2 linked regions of the Oryzias latipes genome follow. The protein of the gene in region 1 purifies or fractionates together with the protein of each later gene. This does not show direct contact. Links are inferred from orthologs where the notes say so. Each region holds a gene or a part of one and is shown in the gene's direction. Other genes may lie near its edges.

Region 1 (8,451 bases):
AGAAAGCCAGGGTTGAATCTTTAGAATCCAGTAGGTGAGGAGGGAAGGTGAAAACTGGAGCTGGTTTTGCTGAAGAACTGTTAGAATTAAGAATTAGAGTTTTTCACAAAAAAATTCTAAATTAATTTTGAAATCACCTGAGCTGGTGCCAGTTAGAATGGGATAGTTGACAAAAAAAGAAGATGCTCCAATACAGAGCCTTGGAGAACGCCTGAAACAAAGGGAGAAGCCAGAAACCTGAAGATTTTGAGCTAGATAAACTAAAAGGGAAAAGTGTGGAAGCCCATGTCAAAAGCTGCACTTAGATCAAGAATGATGATGTTGATACATATTCATATCCTGTACTGATTACCACTGTAACCCTTTTAGGTCCTAGAAGCTCATAGGCATGGGTTCAACCCAGCTGTTGGTTATGAGCTCAACCCCTGGCTCATTTCTTTAGCCCGTATTCATGCTTGGAGATTGGGTTATCATGGAAAAGTAGCTTACTTGCGAGAAGATCTTTGGAAGGTTTGACCTTTTTTTAGATTTATTTTTCATAATTACATCAGAATCTAAGACTTCCTATACATTATAAGCAATTAATAATGTGAACTCCTGATATCTGGGTTCCAAAATATGCCTTATTCACTGGGAAAAGGAGAAACAAAACAAAATATTGGTTGTTATATTGTAAGCTCCTGATCTAAACCGTCTTTAGAGAAGTAATTTGGCCAGGTTTGGCTGATATAGACCAATTTGTTTGTATTTGTAAACGACTTCAAATGTCTTTTCATTTTAATTCTTAATTTTCTGGTCATCTGTATTTATAGTGACCACACGTCATGCAGACAACCAGGTCAGTCAGTCTGTAAGAGAAAATAGTGGAAAGCAAACAAAATATGACACTAAACATGTAATAAAAATGGTAAAGTTCAAAAACAAAAATATGCAAAGATTAAATGAAAAGAAATTCGTTTTTTAATGAGTATATTTGCATTAGAGTTCCTTCACTAGTCTGTTACACACAGCTAATAAATTGTAACAATTCTGGTGTATTTATACCCTGATTTGTATTTACTTACAGGTGGACTTGACAAAATGCAAGAATATTACAGTTTTTTTGGCTCCAAGTGTGGTGAGTTTCATAAAAACTGTGAAATCATAAAAATGTTCTATATCCTCCCTTTTTTCTTTACTTGTTCTGTCCAAAAACTGAGCAAACAGATGAGAGCTGAAGGCCTTTTGTGTTGGACAGGTGTTTATTTTTACAATAACGGGTTATATATCTTCGCATAACCCCTTTTCTTTTTTATAATGTTTTATTTGGGGGGGGGGGTTCTTGTGTGCACGGCAGCCTGCTTTTTCTGAGCCAAGAAAATAAAATGATCCTTATTATTATTGAGCATTGTTTCATTTTATTTATTCTTTAAATTTTAGTTCTGGTTACGTATTTCGCCATGTTGCTTTAATTAAAAGGTGAGTTTGGGACATAGCAGTATTTTATGCCTAAATATGTAAATCTTTAAAACAGACAGAGGATATAGTACTTTCTTTTTTGGCCGTCATTAAAAACTGGAATGACGTGTTGCATTTTTTCTGGCTTATACAGAAAAATATTGCTTATAGTTTCAATTTAACAGTTAACAAATGATTTGTAAATGATACAGGTGATGTAGGATTGAATGTTGGCCATCTGTTATCATTTATGTGTGACTAATTAGAAGATGTTTATATTTCATTGTGAAACTATGTCAGTTATTATTAGTGTTGTTTTTTTGGTAACTTCATTCATTCTTATGCATCTTAAGGGCTTATTGTTTTGTGATTTTCTGCTTTCTAGCTTTCATTGTTGCAGGAGAAGCTGCATGCAGAGCTTCCTGATGGCGCCTTGGTGGTAGCTGGTCGTTTCCCTTTCCCAGACTGGGAACCCTGCAGAATTGAAGGACATGGAGTTGACAGAGCATGGGCATACAACATGCAAGCTCAAAAACAAAGACTTTTAGGAAAAGTCAGCAATATTTAGACACAGTACAATGAGTTATTCATTGAGGGGTGACATATATACACAACCTTTACCTGGCTGGAGTTGGAATTGAAGTAACTTTCACCTTAACCCATATATGGTGACATCAGTGAAACTGACAAAAATCAGAAAGGACCACTTGGTTTGTGGTAAAATACACATCATTTTATTTTTAAGAAAAAAGGGGTCTGTGTTCTCATTGGTTAAGGTGATCAAATAAATTTTTAAACTATGAAGTATCCTTTTATCATAGTTTTGAAAGGCTATCATTTTAAAATGCAAACTATTTTTTAAATTAGGAATTGTTTAAATGCCCAAAATTGATCAAATAAAATACAATTTCTGCTGCCTATATTGCCTTAGGGAAAATACACACAATCGATGTTTTTAAAAATGTTTTCTCATACCATTTGTTTGAGCGGCCAGTTAAAGAGTTAAAAAATTATTTCAGGGATTGCTAAAAAGATTATATAAAATATAAGTAGCCAACATTTGTGTTTATAAAATGCTAAATCGTAAAATCTTTACTATATTTATTTGAGGTTTTATTTTTAAGGTGGACATGTGTAAAGTAGTTCTGAGTTATTTGTATTTAGATTTATATATTAAAGGAATTTATGATAATAAAAAAACTAAGTTAAAGCCATTTAGAGCCAACTGTCTACAACTCAAAACATTGCATAGCAACCCAACCTCACATTGATTCAAACTGTTGCGAAATGTCTGGTCTAACTGGGTTGCCTTCTGGTTTTTGGTCTAAGCTGACACTATGTTAGTTTTTTGTTTTGTTTTGTTTGTTCATTAAAATGGATTTGATTCTGACAGTACTCATTTGTCTCTTCTTCTTGTAAAAACTGTTTTTTTAAACCGATCTCATGTCACGATGAATAGGAAAAGATATGCCTGCATTTGTTGAAATATTCTGCTTTAGTAGTTAACCAGAGCAGCCTAAGTATGAAGTAACATACAAAACTGAGGGACAGCGGTATTGCTGACTTGTTTGCACAGCATTTGTTTTACCACTGTAACAGTTGCCTCCTTGCACATCTGTCAGTCCCTAATGACCATACCAATGCTCAAAAAAGATCATGAGGTTTCGGGTTAATTTGGGGCTGACTGTATGCAGCTAGGATGTAAAATGGGTTACCCCTCTTGCCATTGCAGTAAAATAAGGAAGGCAGAATGATGTGTTTTTACACAACACAGTGAGGCAGAGTAACAAAGAAACAAGCTGCATCAACATGAGTTTTAGCTGCTTTTAGTATCTTTAACACAAAACTGAAAGCTATTTAAAGACTTTTGTCTTTATTGTTTGAATTTACTGATAGAATTCTTTGAACTAATTTATTTGTAAATTCTTTGCATTACTTTGCGTTAAATTAATTTAAACAGGCTTTAGTATTCAGTGTTTTGCATAAAAGGGTTAAGAGAAGTTTAGGCTTCATGGTTTTCTTATGGGTATATCTGTCTTTTTACCTCACTTTTTACATGTGTGCTAATATTTTTAAATATTCTCAAAGATGATAAAGGTTCACGTATTAATAACAGTGTACTTTGCTATTGTTTTGATTCAGCTTTCCTTGCGTGATATAAATAGACCTCCATGGATATTGAATACTTGTTGACAGTATTCACTTCCTTTTTTAGACTTTCAAAATATTAGATCTGTGCATGAATGGACAATATTTTTTTAAAGGTCAAAATTGCTTAATTCGTTTCCAATCACGTAAATAATAATAATTATTATTATCATTATTGTCATTGTAGCATAAATAAGTTATGTATTTTTTAATTTACTATAAAGAGGAGAAGTGTTTACTCTGGTCCCGTGCTAAGGCCATTTCCGTCAATTGTTTTCATCACTTCCATACTTTTGACATCTTATTTGGCTTTTTAAAAGAAAGCTATTCAATTATTATATTAATTTCTAAACAACACTGGCTCAGAAGTGTAGTTTTTTTTAATTTATTTTTTTTTTTCAGCACATGACGTGACGTTCCAGCAGGGGGTTGGATTATGTCATAAGAGGAAGTTGCGAAGCAGACCCTAACCTGCAGCTAGCCACCGACTTGAGCCGCCCTAAAGCTGTGAAAAGAAGAAAAACAGGAACAAACGCGTGGAGTATAATTTGTCGTTTCTATAGTACTTTTTAGCTTTTAACCATGGCAGTGTATATGTACCCGCTTTTAACTTAAAACGCTGAAGACGCATTCTCGTGACCAACAGCCACAGACAGTCATGCCTACAGTTGCCACCTAGCTAACGAAAGTATACGTTCCTTCTAGAAAGGCTAGCTTGTTAGCTAGACAGTCGCTGCGGCGCTAGCAACTGGATAATTTAGCTTTGAAATGGCTGACACTGAACGCTGAATAATGATGCACAATTTACCCGGTGCAAGAGTCTGTTTTGGTTTGATTTTTCACAATTGCACGTCCATGTAGACTAGAAGGTAGCTGTTAATGAATTCGGCGATAAATGGCAACGTTTCTGCTAACATATCAAATTGAGATTGATGGTTTAGTCTATTTTATTATCCGGTAAGTGAAGAAGCGTTTTTTTTAATAAAAAGGAAATTGATATTTTAAATTAACGACGATACTCAACATTTCTGAGGCTAACACAGTAGCAGACCAGTATGAACAGACTTTGCGGTTTCGTTAGCCAGGAAAACATTAGCTAACGTTAGCTGCAAAATTGGCTTGCAGCGTACCTAATGTTGGCTTAAAGGAAATTAATCAGCACCTACGTAACTCGAAGAAAGCGTCTGATTCAACTGATCATGGTATGTATAATTTATATAATAAAAACCTGCTTTATTGCGTTAATTTCTGTCTTCCAGATTGCTTTGATCTCAACTTCTGGTTTGATTTTCACATTTCGATCTTGAAAACCTAATAAAAGTAAGCACATTTGGGTGCAGCTTCTGGTGATACCATGTGGACCTTGATGTTTCATGTCATAACGGTTTAAGACTAGGTATTTGCCTGGAATGCCACAGGCCAATGTGCTGTGTCATACAAAGCCAAACCTCTTTGAGTGGTGGAGAGCCTTGGCAAGTTGTGTCTTATTTAAGGAATTTGGATCTGCCTTCGCTTCACAAGCCCACGTCTCAGTTTGGCAAGACTAGGCCCAATTTCCTACATGCTACAAATAATTAGCCTGATCGCAGCTTTAAACTGTTGAACTTTTACTCTGTAGTTTTGGTAAACAGTTCCCAAAAACATCAATTACACAGTGGCAACAATGGAAGATGAGATGTGCAAGTGTGGACATGTTGAGAATCCAGCTCACTGCATGTCTTCCTAAAGCCAAGAGGGTATTTATGATTTAAAAAAATGAAGATTGTTGTGCACAAAATGCTTTAAAAAAAAAAAAAAAAAAAGCGAGGCTTGCTTGCATTAGAGTTATCCGATCTTACATTATATTGTAGTGATCTGTTTTTCATGTATAATTTTGTCAACTGATGTGCAGCATTGAACCTGTACTCCAAAATGTTCTTTTATTCTCAATTAGTCTTCGGAGGAAGGATCACTGCGCGCTTTAGAGAACCTGATGACAGAGTTCTTTCACAGCTGCACAACTAATGAGCGGAAAAGAGAAATCGGTAAGTGCACTTTTAAAATAAAATCCCATTTATACACACCAGAAGCAACAGCATGATTCAATGCTTTCTCTCTCTCTTTTTTTTTCTTTCTGTTAAAATGCTTAAGAGGACGTTTAAATGTAAAAATAGGCAGCCATCTAAATAAGCTCACAGTCAGTGTCTATGATAAACATTGCTTTGAGGCTGAAATTAAAGGTGGGCCAAAAGATCATGTGAGAGTCTTATGGGCCGGTTCACAACCTAACACTGCTCTCTCCTTACAGAGCGATCGGCCCATGTGAATTTGTGATAAGTTGTGCTCAAGGCTGCATGAATACTAAAAACAGTAGACGGTCAGCAAAGGAGTTTTAGGCAGAAAACATAAATTAATCTGAATCAGGATGATTGTTTGCTGCACACATATCGTGATGGTATTTACTAAAACGTAGCTGCTGCTTTTACATTCAGCACTTAAAAAAAGTCGTTTAGTGTACTGACATATCTTTTTACAGTTATTAATCAGATATGCAATTGAAAAAAGCCAAAATAAGTATAATTATGATTATTTATTTTGAATAAACACGGCACATTTGAAATAAAACGCCCTCTCTCAGATATGAGGCCAGTTTTGTGTCACTTCCTCCTCATTTCCTGCAAGTTCTTCCCACTGTGTTTGATAAATGAAGGTAAAATGCCACACTTGGAATATTGCCTTTTCATCATATTGTAAATTTTATTCAATAAAGCCTTATATTCCAGTCATAATTGTCGGTGCTAAATGGGTGAAGTGACTCATTTCCCCTTTAATTTGGAGATATTGAAGCTCGAATATCGCACATTTTTACAGGAATGCTTAATTTGGTGCATTTTGGTGATCTTTTGTTCATTATATATTTTTAATAATAACATTTTATGTCCACTTCCCGCGTTGTGATACTCTGCTTTCACTTTGTTCCAGCTGAGTCTACCATGTCGTGCATGTCTGTCTAAGATCGTATCTGCCTTCTTTTTTTCTGCAGAAGAGTTGCTAAATAACTTTGCACAACAGGCTGGAGCGTGGCGCCACTGCTTGTTCTTTCTCTCCAGTACTCGAAATGAGTATGTAATGATGTACAGCCTCACAGTATTTGAGGTAGGTTTCGAGGATCGCAGGTTTAAGAACAAAGTCCTTGTATGCACAGAGATCACAGGAAGTGCTGTGTTAGATGTTTGGTGTGCGTTTCCGCTCTTTCTTTTACCTCTTTTTCTCTCCTTAAGCAAGTTGGTTCTTTAACCATTATTGCAACCACGTTTGCAGTGGAAAATGCAACAAAAATGTGTTTTAAAGACTCTGCCTTCTACTGACTGCTCATTTTTTAATAAATACATTATTATTACAACAAAGAACTGAAAAAAACGTAACTGTTGTATACAGATCTGTTTAAAAACGTGTTTTTTGTTTCTATTTTAGAATCTGGTGAACAAAATGTGGATTGGTTTAGCCTCTCAAGATAAGATGGAGATCCGCAGCTGTCTGCCCAAACTTCTGCTTGCCCAACACAAAAATGTGCCCTATTTTATCCGTAACAAACTGTGCAAAGTCATTGTGGACATTGGTCGCCAGGACTGGCCAATGTTCTACCATGATTTCTTTTCGAACACGCTTCAGGTAAGCCCTGCTGATGTCTTTTCTGCTTTTCAGAAGTTTTCAGAAAGCTTCAATGAGATCTTCCCAGCCCTGGTGCTTAAGATCTGCCACATCGACTATTTCCTTTTTGCTTTTGGTGCTTATTAACTAACTTAGGTGTTTCTAAACTCTGACTGATCACGCCTGATTCAGGTCATCGGCAGCGGGAATAGCAGGGTGGTAGATCTAAAGGACCACGGCTGGAAACCTTTATTAAAATGGTAAATGATATGTTGGTTATTGCTGGATTACTTAAGTACTAATAAGTGGTTGTTTTATGCTACGGAGGGAATTTTTTTCTTTTTCTTCTCCTATTTGCTAGAACAATTCCACCTCCTACAATTGGAAGAGGTTTGGAGCAAAATGTCAAAGCTGTGCAAATCTTGTAAATCTTGCTGCAGGCTTTTCTTTCACAGCTCTATTCCGATAAGAAAGACTTTGTGCCGTATAATTCCAGCCGGGCACAAACCGGAATGATTAATTTCTCCTCCATGTTCAATTTACAAACGGTTTGCACTTCCAAATCTGAGTCCCCGAATGGTCATCTTTCAACGAATGTTTTGTACATAGAGCCTGAAAACAGGTGTAGAAACTTGCGTAGTGACGTTTGAACGAGAGAGTTTTGAACGTGAAAGCCCCAAACATGCATATATGTGCATTTACATAGACTTTTCGTTTAAAACGGGCAGTGTGAACATAGCTGTAGACCTGTGGGTTTTCAAACCACTGCCTCTAATGTAAAAAAAAACAAGGATAAGGGGATATAGGGCTTAGAAATTATCCTCAGTGACCCTTTGTGAGTTTACAAATTGTGTTCTTTCTAAAGTTTTCTATCTTTGATTTTTCTTTTGGTCAGTGTGACGATGCATTAGAGTCGTTTTGTATGTTTTGGTGATCTATCAATGGGTATTTTAAGGAAATTCAATACACAATGTTTTACAAAAACCGACTTTGCCTTTGAAAATGTTCGTTTATTTCAATGCTACACTGATTTAACACCCACTAAGATTTCTAACAGTTCTAGATTCTAAACAAGTCGAACGTCATGAGCAAACCTGAGGACTTTAAAAATGTATTTCGTTTGATCCAACACTTTAGCTTAGTTTAGTTTACATTTCCACAATGTGTCACAAATAACAAATCTCCTCACAATACACAACGTGAAAAAAAGGGACACCCCCAAAGCAGAAGCTTATT
Region 2 (8,367 bases), on another chromosome or scaffold:
GGTCGGCTGGGGTCTCGCTCTGTGGTCTAAATGCTGTGGCAATGACCCTCGTGGTCAGGTTGGGCCTTGCAACATATGGATTACTATTATGTCATTTCTGCACAGCAGAACCACACCAGACTTTTTCTTTAACCTGCAGTTTTTGTTCAGGGTTATATTGGGGGAACTGGGTGGATGGAGGGAGGAAACTGGTGAGGGAGGGGTCCCATCGGTGTGTGATTCTCCTAAGTTTTCTATTTTAATTCATTTTTATATTTTATGACTATTTTATTTGCTTTTATGTCAAGCGCTTTTGCTTTCAAATAAAATGACAGGCGTTATACAAATAAAGTTTGAATTTAAAGTTCCCAGATGTGTTCTCTCTCTGATCAAGTTTTAAGGCTTGCATTGTCACTGTGTAATTTCAAAAACTGTAGAATTTAAATGAGGTCAGTCTTCCCACACGTAACGGGCGCGGATCTGCCTGGTTGCAATTTAGTTCGGGTTGCGCATCCGTTTACCCAAAGTAATCTGCGTTGTGTTCTTGTTCTGCTGGACAAATGAAGAGAGTCTGGACCCAAACATCTGCTGAACGCTGCCCTTTTTATTGATGACTGCAGCAGGATCTGTACATATCAAACAAAAAATGAAGAAAAGTCGCTTACATGCAGTTCCCTGCTCAAACACATGGGGTCGCAGTATCCTGTTGAGCGGAAAACGAGAAACCTGTCCACACATGTCTTCTACCAAGTGTAACCCTTGTTACACTAACTTGAAATTAATTTATAAAGTATTGGAAAAATTGGCTCCAGATCCTCTGGCAGAGATGGATCACCAAAAAAAAAAAAAAAAACGATTCCAGGCCTCAGCAGCATGTCTGTGTTTCACCCACGAAAACAAACATCCAAATATTTGCAAAGATGGATGTGCAAATTGTGCATACAAAATAAACGCATTTAGCCGATCACCGCTAGCTCCACGGAGAGAGTGGAGTTTGTGCTAGTCTGGCTGGGGGAGGTGCTGGCAGCACAGACTCTTCCTGGAAGGGGCTGTTCCTCACTTTGTGACATCACAATGGGAGAACTCTCTTGTTTTTGTGGGTTTGGAGGGGCTGGTGCTCAGAGAGCAGGTTTTTAAAGGAACACCCAGAAACGGGTAAATGGATCCAAATATTCCTTTGGGGTTGTTCATTATGAATGATGAACGTTATAATACAATTATACCATCGTCCGGGTGAATACCCGATTCTGATTGGCTGCTGGGTGTGCGGTAAAAAGCGATGCAGTCGCCGCACCATGTAACAAATAGTCCGCTTTTTGTGATAAAAGCAATCCTCTTGCTTTATTTTGATAAGCGCTTCGCGTCGGATGGTTCAGGCTTCACGGCGTGTGTTAAAAAGTGCTAATGCACACTTCGTCGGCCATTAACCCTTAGTTAAAAGATCACAGAGTTGCTTTTGCATGATATAAGCCCTTTAAAAGTACACTTGGAAGTAGATTGTGCAGTCAGATTGAGAAGTCAAATTGTACTAATTCCACAGAGTGGTTGTGGAATCACTACGCACAGAGTGCACCTAGTGCGTTCACCATTTTGTAAAGCTGTTCAAATTTCAAAATCAAGTGGTTTAGAAATTATTTGCGAAAGATTAGTGTGTATTGATGCTCGCTACTAGATTGGCGTGTGTAGACCACAATGCAATTGAACAATTTTTGAGAGCAAAAATGTATTTTATTGTTTTGTATGAACACTCAATGATTTCATCATCAGAGCACAGTGGATTCATAAATAGTCTTCATGCATTGCTCATATTGATTAGATTTTAACTTTGGGAAATCAGTGATGTCATATTCGCAGTTTTAAAATAATGAAGTCAGCAAGGTGTCCTAATTGCTTTTAAAATCCGGGACATTGGATAGTCCCACACTTATAGTTTTATTAGTAGTTAGGGATTAGGGTGGGAATTCGGACATAGCCAGTGAATTGTCTGAACTCAATGAGTTATATCGCTAGAGGAGACACGCCCGCTTGGGAAGCCTGGCCGACGGTGGCGGAACGCAACGCCATCTTGGTGAGGTCAACGACGCCTACATGACAATGATTTCTTTAGCCTTTGGTAGCATCTAAGTAGCTTTTATATAATTTATATTTATTCAAATTTCTATATATTTATACATATAAATAAACACATGATAAATGTATATAATTTTTATATATATACATCATTTGATGCTTTTAAATAAGAGAAACAGTCAGCTTTAAAAGTTCAAACTTTAATGAAAAATGCATTGTTTTTAATTTTTAAACATTTCCAAGTTTTAGACCTCTTTGACATGTAATTGAAATTATTTAGAAAAGCCCAACAATAAGTCAATAATAATAATAAATAATAACAATATATAAATAATAAGTCAATAATAATAATAAATAACAAATATAAATAATAAGTCAATAATAATAATAATTAATAACAATATATAAATAAGTCAATAATAATAATAATAATAATAATAATAATAATAATAATAATAATAATAATAATAATAATAATAATGAATCAATAAATAATAATAATAATAAATCAATAGTAAGTCAATAATAATATTGAATGATAAAAATAAATCAATAATAGGTAAATAATAATAAATGATAATAATAAATCAATAATAAGTCAACAAAAAGTCCAAAAGTCAACAACAGATTTTCCCCTTTAAAAAAACAAAGAAAAGAAATAGATTTACCTCCTGATTCATGTTAGTGATAAATTTGTGTGACACAGTTGGTTTAGTGTCGGGTTTCAAGCTAACAGTCTGGCCAGTCTCATCAAAATCTGTTTCCTCAAATTGTTTTGAACATAGCCAGACTGTATTACTAGTTGGTACCACAGTGATCCATCTGGGTTAGCTCTTTTTATTGCTAAGGCCCACTTTTTCCTTAAGTCTGAATCCATTGGAAACCTGCAATAAAATTTCAGTCACTGAGTCAGAAATGTATAAATCTCTATTACTATAATAGCCTAGTATAATGTATACAGGTTTAACACAATAAAGTTTACATTTATATCGACAGCAAATTATACGTACATCATGCCTACATGTTGATAATCGCCCTGCAGCATCATGCATGAAAACATGTGTATGATTAATGATGCCCCTGCAGCATTAAAAGAAAAAAATATATAATACTTACCTGTGAAATGTTATGCCTTCCTCCTTCGTGGACTCATTTCTCTGATTTTGGCAGTTGAAACCCGAAAAATGAACTGGTATTTTGCAAGAAATGTGTTCACATGCATGCACTACAGCAGTAATTTGACCTCACCAAGATGGCGATGCTCTCCCCCCTTGAGGAATCACGTGATGTCTCCTCTACCGATAGAACTAAATTTAGACAGGAAACTAGCAATGACGAGCTGCAACATCCGGTGACGTATTTTCCGTAGGTAAACAAGATGGCGTCCGGCAGTGGGGTGAGTTTCCAAGCAGAATTTCTCTGCCCCTGTTTGTTGTAATACAGTTTAATTCAATAAACAAGATTAAAATTCTTCACTTTATATTTGGTACCGTGGAGGCGTTTTGACTGTAACCGTTACAGACATCAGCTGCTGCCGTTAGAAGCGCGGCCTCGGACTAGCAGCGGCTAACTCGCTCTGACGCTTGGGTACTTTATTTGCAGAATTTTACGGCCCTTTTTAAAAAAAAAAAAAATTAGTACCAAAAACGTTTTGACTCAACCGCCGTTAGTTTTTATCTTTAAAGGACTAATTCAAAGGTGTAACGAATTCCGGTGTGGCAAAATAAAAGCTCTTGAAGTTTATTTCGTAAAGCCGACTGTGATGATAATAAATGAAACTGTAATAATAAGGATAATGTCCTTTTTGGTTTTTGCAAATATGAAACAATGTTTCTGTTGCTATATTATAAAATTTATAAACCCACCCCTGTTGAAAATGTTTACTTTGATAATATGAATGAAAGGGAAGAGCTGTCGATCAATACAGACCATGAATTTCTGCTTTTTTTTTTTTTTTTTGGATGCTGGTGTGCCGCGGGATCTTTTTCAGGGTTAAAGTGTGCCGTGGCTCAAAAAAGGTTGAAAAACACTGGTCTAGAGTGACTTAGGGTTTCCTGTCCTGTAAGCACAGCTCCACCAGCAGGCGTATCCCCCTGGAGCCTGACGGCACCATGCATTTGGAGAGCTGATCAGTTTCAGGCTGCAGCTGCAGCCAGGATCAGGCTGTTGAACGGAGATTTCTGAAAAATCTAATGTTCATTATGAAGGATCTCTTTGGACTCATCTGTTTATCCAACATGGATGCTTCCCGTCAGCTGGATGTTCGGCCTGAGCCCTCCCCTTATCTCGGGTCACGGAGTAGGAACAGCCCTTTTCCCAAACACCATTAAATACGAGCAGCAGCATGGCTCACGCATAAATCATGGGTCACACGTTCCCCATGATTTGTGCGTTCATCCATACCTCTCTGAGCTTTTGGAATCTCGGTTAAGCTCATATCTTTCCCTGGAGGGACAGAGATCCAGGAGGAACCTCTGGGAAGAGCCAGCTCCTCCTGTTTGAGCTTGGAAGGTGCACAAGGCGTCAGCTCTGACAGTCCAACAGGCATCTTCACCGTCTGCATTTAAACATTCTTCTGACGAAGCATGAGGCTTTCCTGCTTTTGTTCCTTCTCTGTTGTTGTGTCTCTGTGGTTCTGTTTTAGAGTTTTATCAATGAAGTTGAGTTGAGAAGCTGTTGCTCTTTTGTCAGGAGGAGTAAAAGCTCCTCGTCTTCATCAGCTGAATGTTTGTTGAGATGTGAAGATAATCGAGGCGCTCTGAGTCATCTTCTCGTGTCTTCCAGTCCAGCAAGAACGACTTCCGGCGGAAATGGGACAAGGACGAGTACGAGAATCTCGCTCAGAAGCGGCTGAACGAGGAGCGCGAGCGGGAGCTCAGGGATGGTGAGGGCAGCGCTCTCCGTTCTTTGGGGACCCTTGGGGGTCAATCGCTTATCACCCCTGACGCATGACCTGTTGGCTCTTTCAGGAAAACCTGTCCCTCCCGTCAAGCGGGAGCTCCTGCGGCACAGAGACTACAAAGTGGATCTGGAGTCCAAACTGGGGAAAACTATTGTCATCACCAAGACCACCCCTCAGGCGGAGATGGGCGGGTGAGTTCCTGACGGCTTTGGGTTTGGAAAAATGGAAAACTGAAACTCTTTGAACCAATAAGAAAAAGTTGTGGAGCAGAAACGGACAGGTCTGGGTTCTGGTTCCGACATATTTTTTTTTTCAGATATTACTGCAATGTTTGTGACTGTGTGGTCAAAGACTCCATCAACTTTCTGGATCACATCAACGGCAAGAAACGTAAGTACACCTGTGCTTTAGGGAGGGGCCAAGAGCGCAGATGTAACGTGGATCATTTTATACAGTCAGGTCCATAAATAATGGGACAGCGACACAATTCCAACATGTTTGACTCTATATGCCACCAAAATGGATTTGAAATAAAACGAACAAGATGTGCTTTAACTGCAGACTGTCAGCTTTAATTTGTGGGTATTTCCATCCAGATCAGGTGAACTGTGTAGGAATTACAACAGTTTGCATCTGTGCCTCCCACTTGTTAAGGAACCAAAAGTAATGGTCAGAACAATAATCATAAATCAGACATTTACTTTTTAATACTTGGTTGCAAATCCTTTGCAGTCAATTCCAGCATGAAGTCTGGAACTCACAGACATCTCCAGACGCTGGGTTTCATCCCTGGTGATGCTCTGCCAGGCCTCCAATGCATCGGTCTTCAGTTCCTGCTTGTTGTTGGGGCATTTTACCTTCAGTTTTGTCTTCAGCAAGTGAAACATTGCATAACATTCCACTTCTTTCCCTTAAGAAGGCCTTTAGTTGCGGTTGCAGTTTGCTTTGGGTCATGGTCCATCTGCACTGTGAAGCGCCGTCCACTGAAGCATTTGGCTGATCATGAGCCCAAAAGCCTTCAGAATTCATCCTACTGCTTTTGTCAGCGTTCACATCATCAATAGATAGAAGAGAACAGTTCCATTAGCAGGCATACATGCCCACGCCATGACAATACCACCACCATGCTTCACTGATGAGGTGGTATGCTTAGGATCATGAGCAGTTCCTTTCCTTCTCCATACTCTGGTAGAGGTTGATCTTAGTCTCATCTGTCCATAGGACGTTTTTCCAGAGCTGTGAAGACTGTTTTAGATGTCGTTTGGCAAACTCTAATCTGGCCCTCCTGTTTTTGAGGCTCACTAATGGTTTACATCTTGTGGTAAACCCTCTGAACTCACTCTGGTGAAGTCTTCTCTTGATTGTCGACTTCTACACACATGCACACCTTACCTCCTGGAGAGTGTTCTTGATCTGGCCGACTGTTGTGAAGGGAGTTCTCTTCACCAGGAACACAATTCTTCGGTCATCCACCACACATGTTTTCTGTGGTCTTCCGGGCTGTTTGGCATGCTGAGCTCCCCAGTGCGTTCCTTCTTTTTAAGAATGTTCCAAACAGTCGTTGTGGCCACGCCTCATATTTTTACTATCTCTCTGATGGTTATTTTTGTTTTTTCAGCCTAATGACTGCTTCTTCACTGATAATAACAACTCTTTGGATCTCATCTTGAGAGTTGACGGCAACAGATTGCAAATGCATACAGCACACTTCAAAAGCTCTGGACCTTTTATCTGCTCTTTGTAGTTGGGATAGTGAGGGAATAACACACACCTGTCCCTGGAACAGCTGAGAAGCCGATTGGCCCATTGCTTTTGGTTCCTTAACAAGTGGGAGGCACAGATGCAAACTGTTGTAATTCCTACACAGTTCACCTGATCTGGATGGAAATACCCACAAATTAAAGCTGACAGTCTGCAGTTAAAGCACATCTTGTTAGTTTCATTTCAAATCCATTTTGGTGGCATATAGAGTCAAACATGTTGGAATTGTGTCGCTGTCCTGTTGTTTATGGACCTGACTGTATGTCCATGAATGTGTGTTGATAAATGTGTGTGTGTGTTCAGATCAGAGGAACCTGGGCATGTCCATGCGGGTGGAGCGCTCGTCTCTGGATCAGGTGAAGAAACGCTTTGAGGTGAACAGGAAGAAGATGGAGGAGAAGCAGAAGGAGTACGACTTTGAGGAGCGCATGAAGGAGCTGCGGGAAGAGGTGAGCGCCCCCTGCTGGTCAGCTCCCAGAGTCCTGTGAAATTTGGAAAAGGCTGCTCTGTTGATTCTTCTGCTTTTTCCAGCGCTCCTACTTTCATTCTTTTCTTTCAGTGTCTTCAGTGTTTTATAATCTGGTGAAGTCATGAATAAAAACTGGTTCCTGGTCTCCTCAGGAGGAGAAGGCGAAGGCCTACAGGAAAGAGAAGCAGAAAGAGAGGAAGCGGCGTGCTGAGGAGGACTTGGACCTGGAGGACGATGATGAGATGGCAGCAGTGATGGGCTTCTCGGGGTTTGGCTCGTCCAAGAAGAGCCACTGAAGCCCCAAACTGGGACAGGAAACCGTTTTCAGCCATGCCCCCCTCTCTAGGGCGGGGCTGCTGATGCGGGCTCCTCCCTCACAGACTTTTTTTATTTGAGATTGCTCTCAAACCTCTTCTGGTGAGCTGGTAAACACCATCACAAATATTAACAGATGAATGAATGATCTGAATGCAGGAAGACAAATGAAGGAGAAACTGTTTCCTTTAGCACGACTGTGGTGTGTTCAGGTGCACACAGAAAACTATACATTTTTGTTTCTTCATTCAAGTTTTTTCTCTGAATTAGATCCTGATCTTAGAAAAAGAAAGAACTGGAGGAAATGTTGGTTTAATTTTTAATAAATACACCTTTTTTTTTTATTCCTGATGTTTTCCTGAAATTGATGTAAAAATGTTCCACAAAGAAGCTGAGGCTTCAAACCGATAAAAGGTGCTCTTCTGTGTTCCTTTGTCATTTTGTTATGGCAAAAAGGGGAAAGTAATCTGAAATGAATTTAGGAATCACAATAAAACACTTCTCCTGGGTTCAGCCAAGCTTTCCACCTGAACACGATGAATCGGTGGCAGGTTGGCATGTGAAGAAAGATGTCTGTGGCGGCGTTCACTTCTTCTTTCTAATGTGGCTGAAACTGCGTTTGATCAACAGGAAGAAGAAGAGGAAGTCTGCTGCATTTCCTGTGTTTCACTCATTAATGACCAACAACGCCGCTACGTCTTATCGGTCCTCGTCACGGTGCGGCTTTTGAAAAAAGACTCAGACTATTTAGACATTAGTTCATAAGAATTCAAACCAAAGAGACTCCTTTTTTAAGCATGTGCAGCCAGTTCTGCTCCAAAAAGCAGGTTATGTGACAAACCTCCGTCTATTTGAAGGTAGTTTAGATCAA

The links.
Region 2: the proteins of xpo6 (region 1) and zmat2 purify together in Homo sapiens (co-immunoprecipitation; 3 studies listed by BioGRID and IntAct, with this or other methods). This does not show direct contact. The link is inferred for Oryzias latipes from reciprocal best matches to the Homo sapiens genes XPO6 and ZMAT2.

The regions. Positions count from the first base shown.
Region 1 is NC_019866.2:14,396,834-14,405,284, forward strand, and holds the start of xpo6 (exportin-6), read left to right. Parts: upstream 1-4,025; 5' UTR 4,026-4,784; coding exon 4,785-4,787; intron 4,788-5,518; coding exon 5,519-5,609; intron 5,610-6,607; coding exon 6,608-6,720; intron 6,721-7,038; coding exon 7,039-7,236; intron 7,237-8,451. Other genes in the region: protein FAM173A, read left to right, coding at 370-510, 1,067-1,117, 1,823-2,005. UniProt on the Homo sapiens protein: Mediates the nuclear export of actin and profilin-actin complexes in somatic cells.
Region 2 is NC_019872.2:3,285,847-3,294,213, reverse strand, and holds zmat2 (zinc finger matrin-type protein 2), read left to right. Parts: upstream 1-3,356; 5' UTR 3,357-3,427; coding exon 3,428-3,445; intron 3,446-4,833; coding exon 4,834-4,933; intron 4,934-5,018; coding exon 5,019-5,142; intron 5,143-5,267; coding exon 5,268-5,341; intron 5,342-7,015; coding exon 7,016-7,161; intron 7,162-7,333; coding exon 7,334-7,477; 3' UTR 7,478-7,923; downstream 7,924-8,367. UniProt on the Homo sapiens protein: Involved in pre-mRNA splicing as a component of the spliceosome.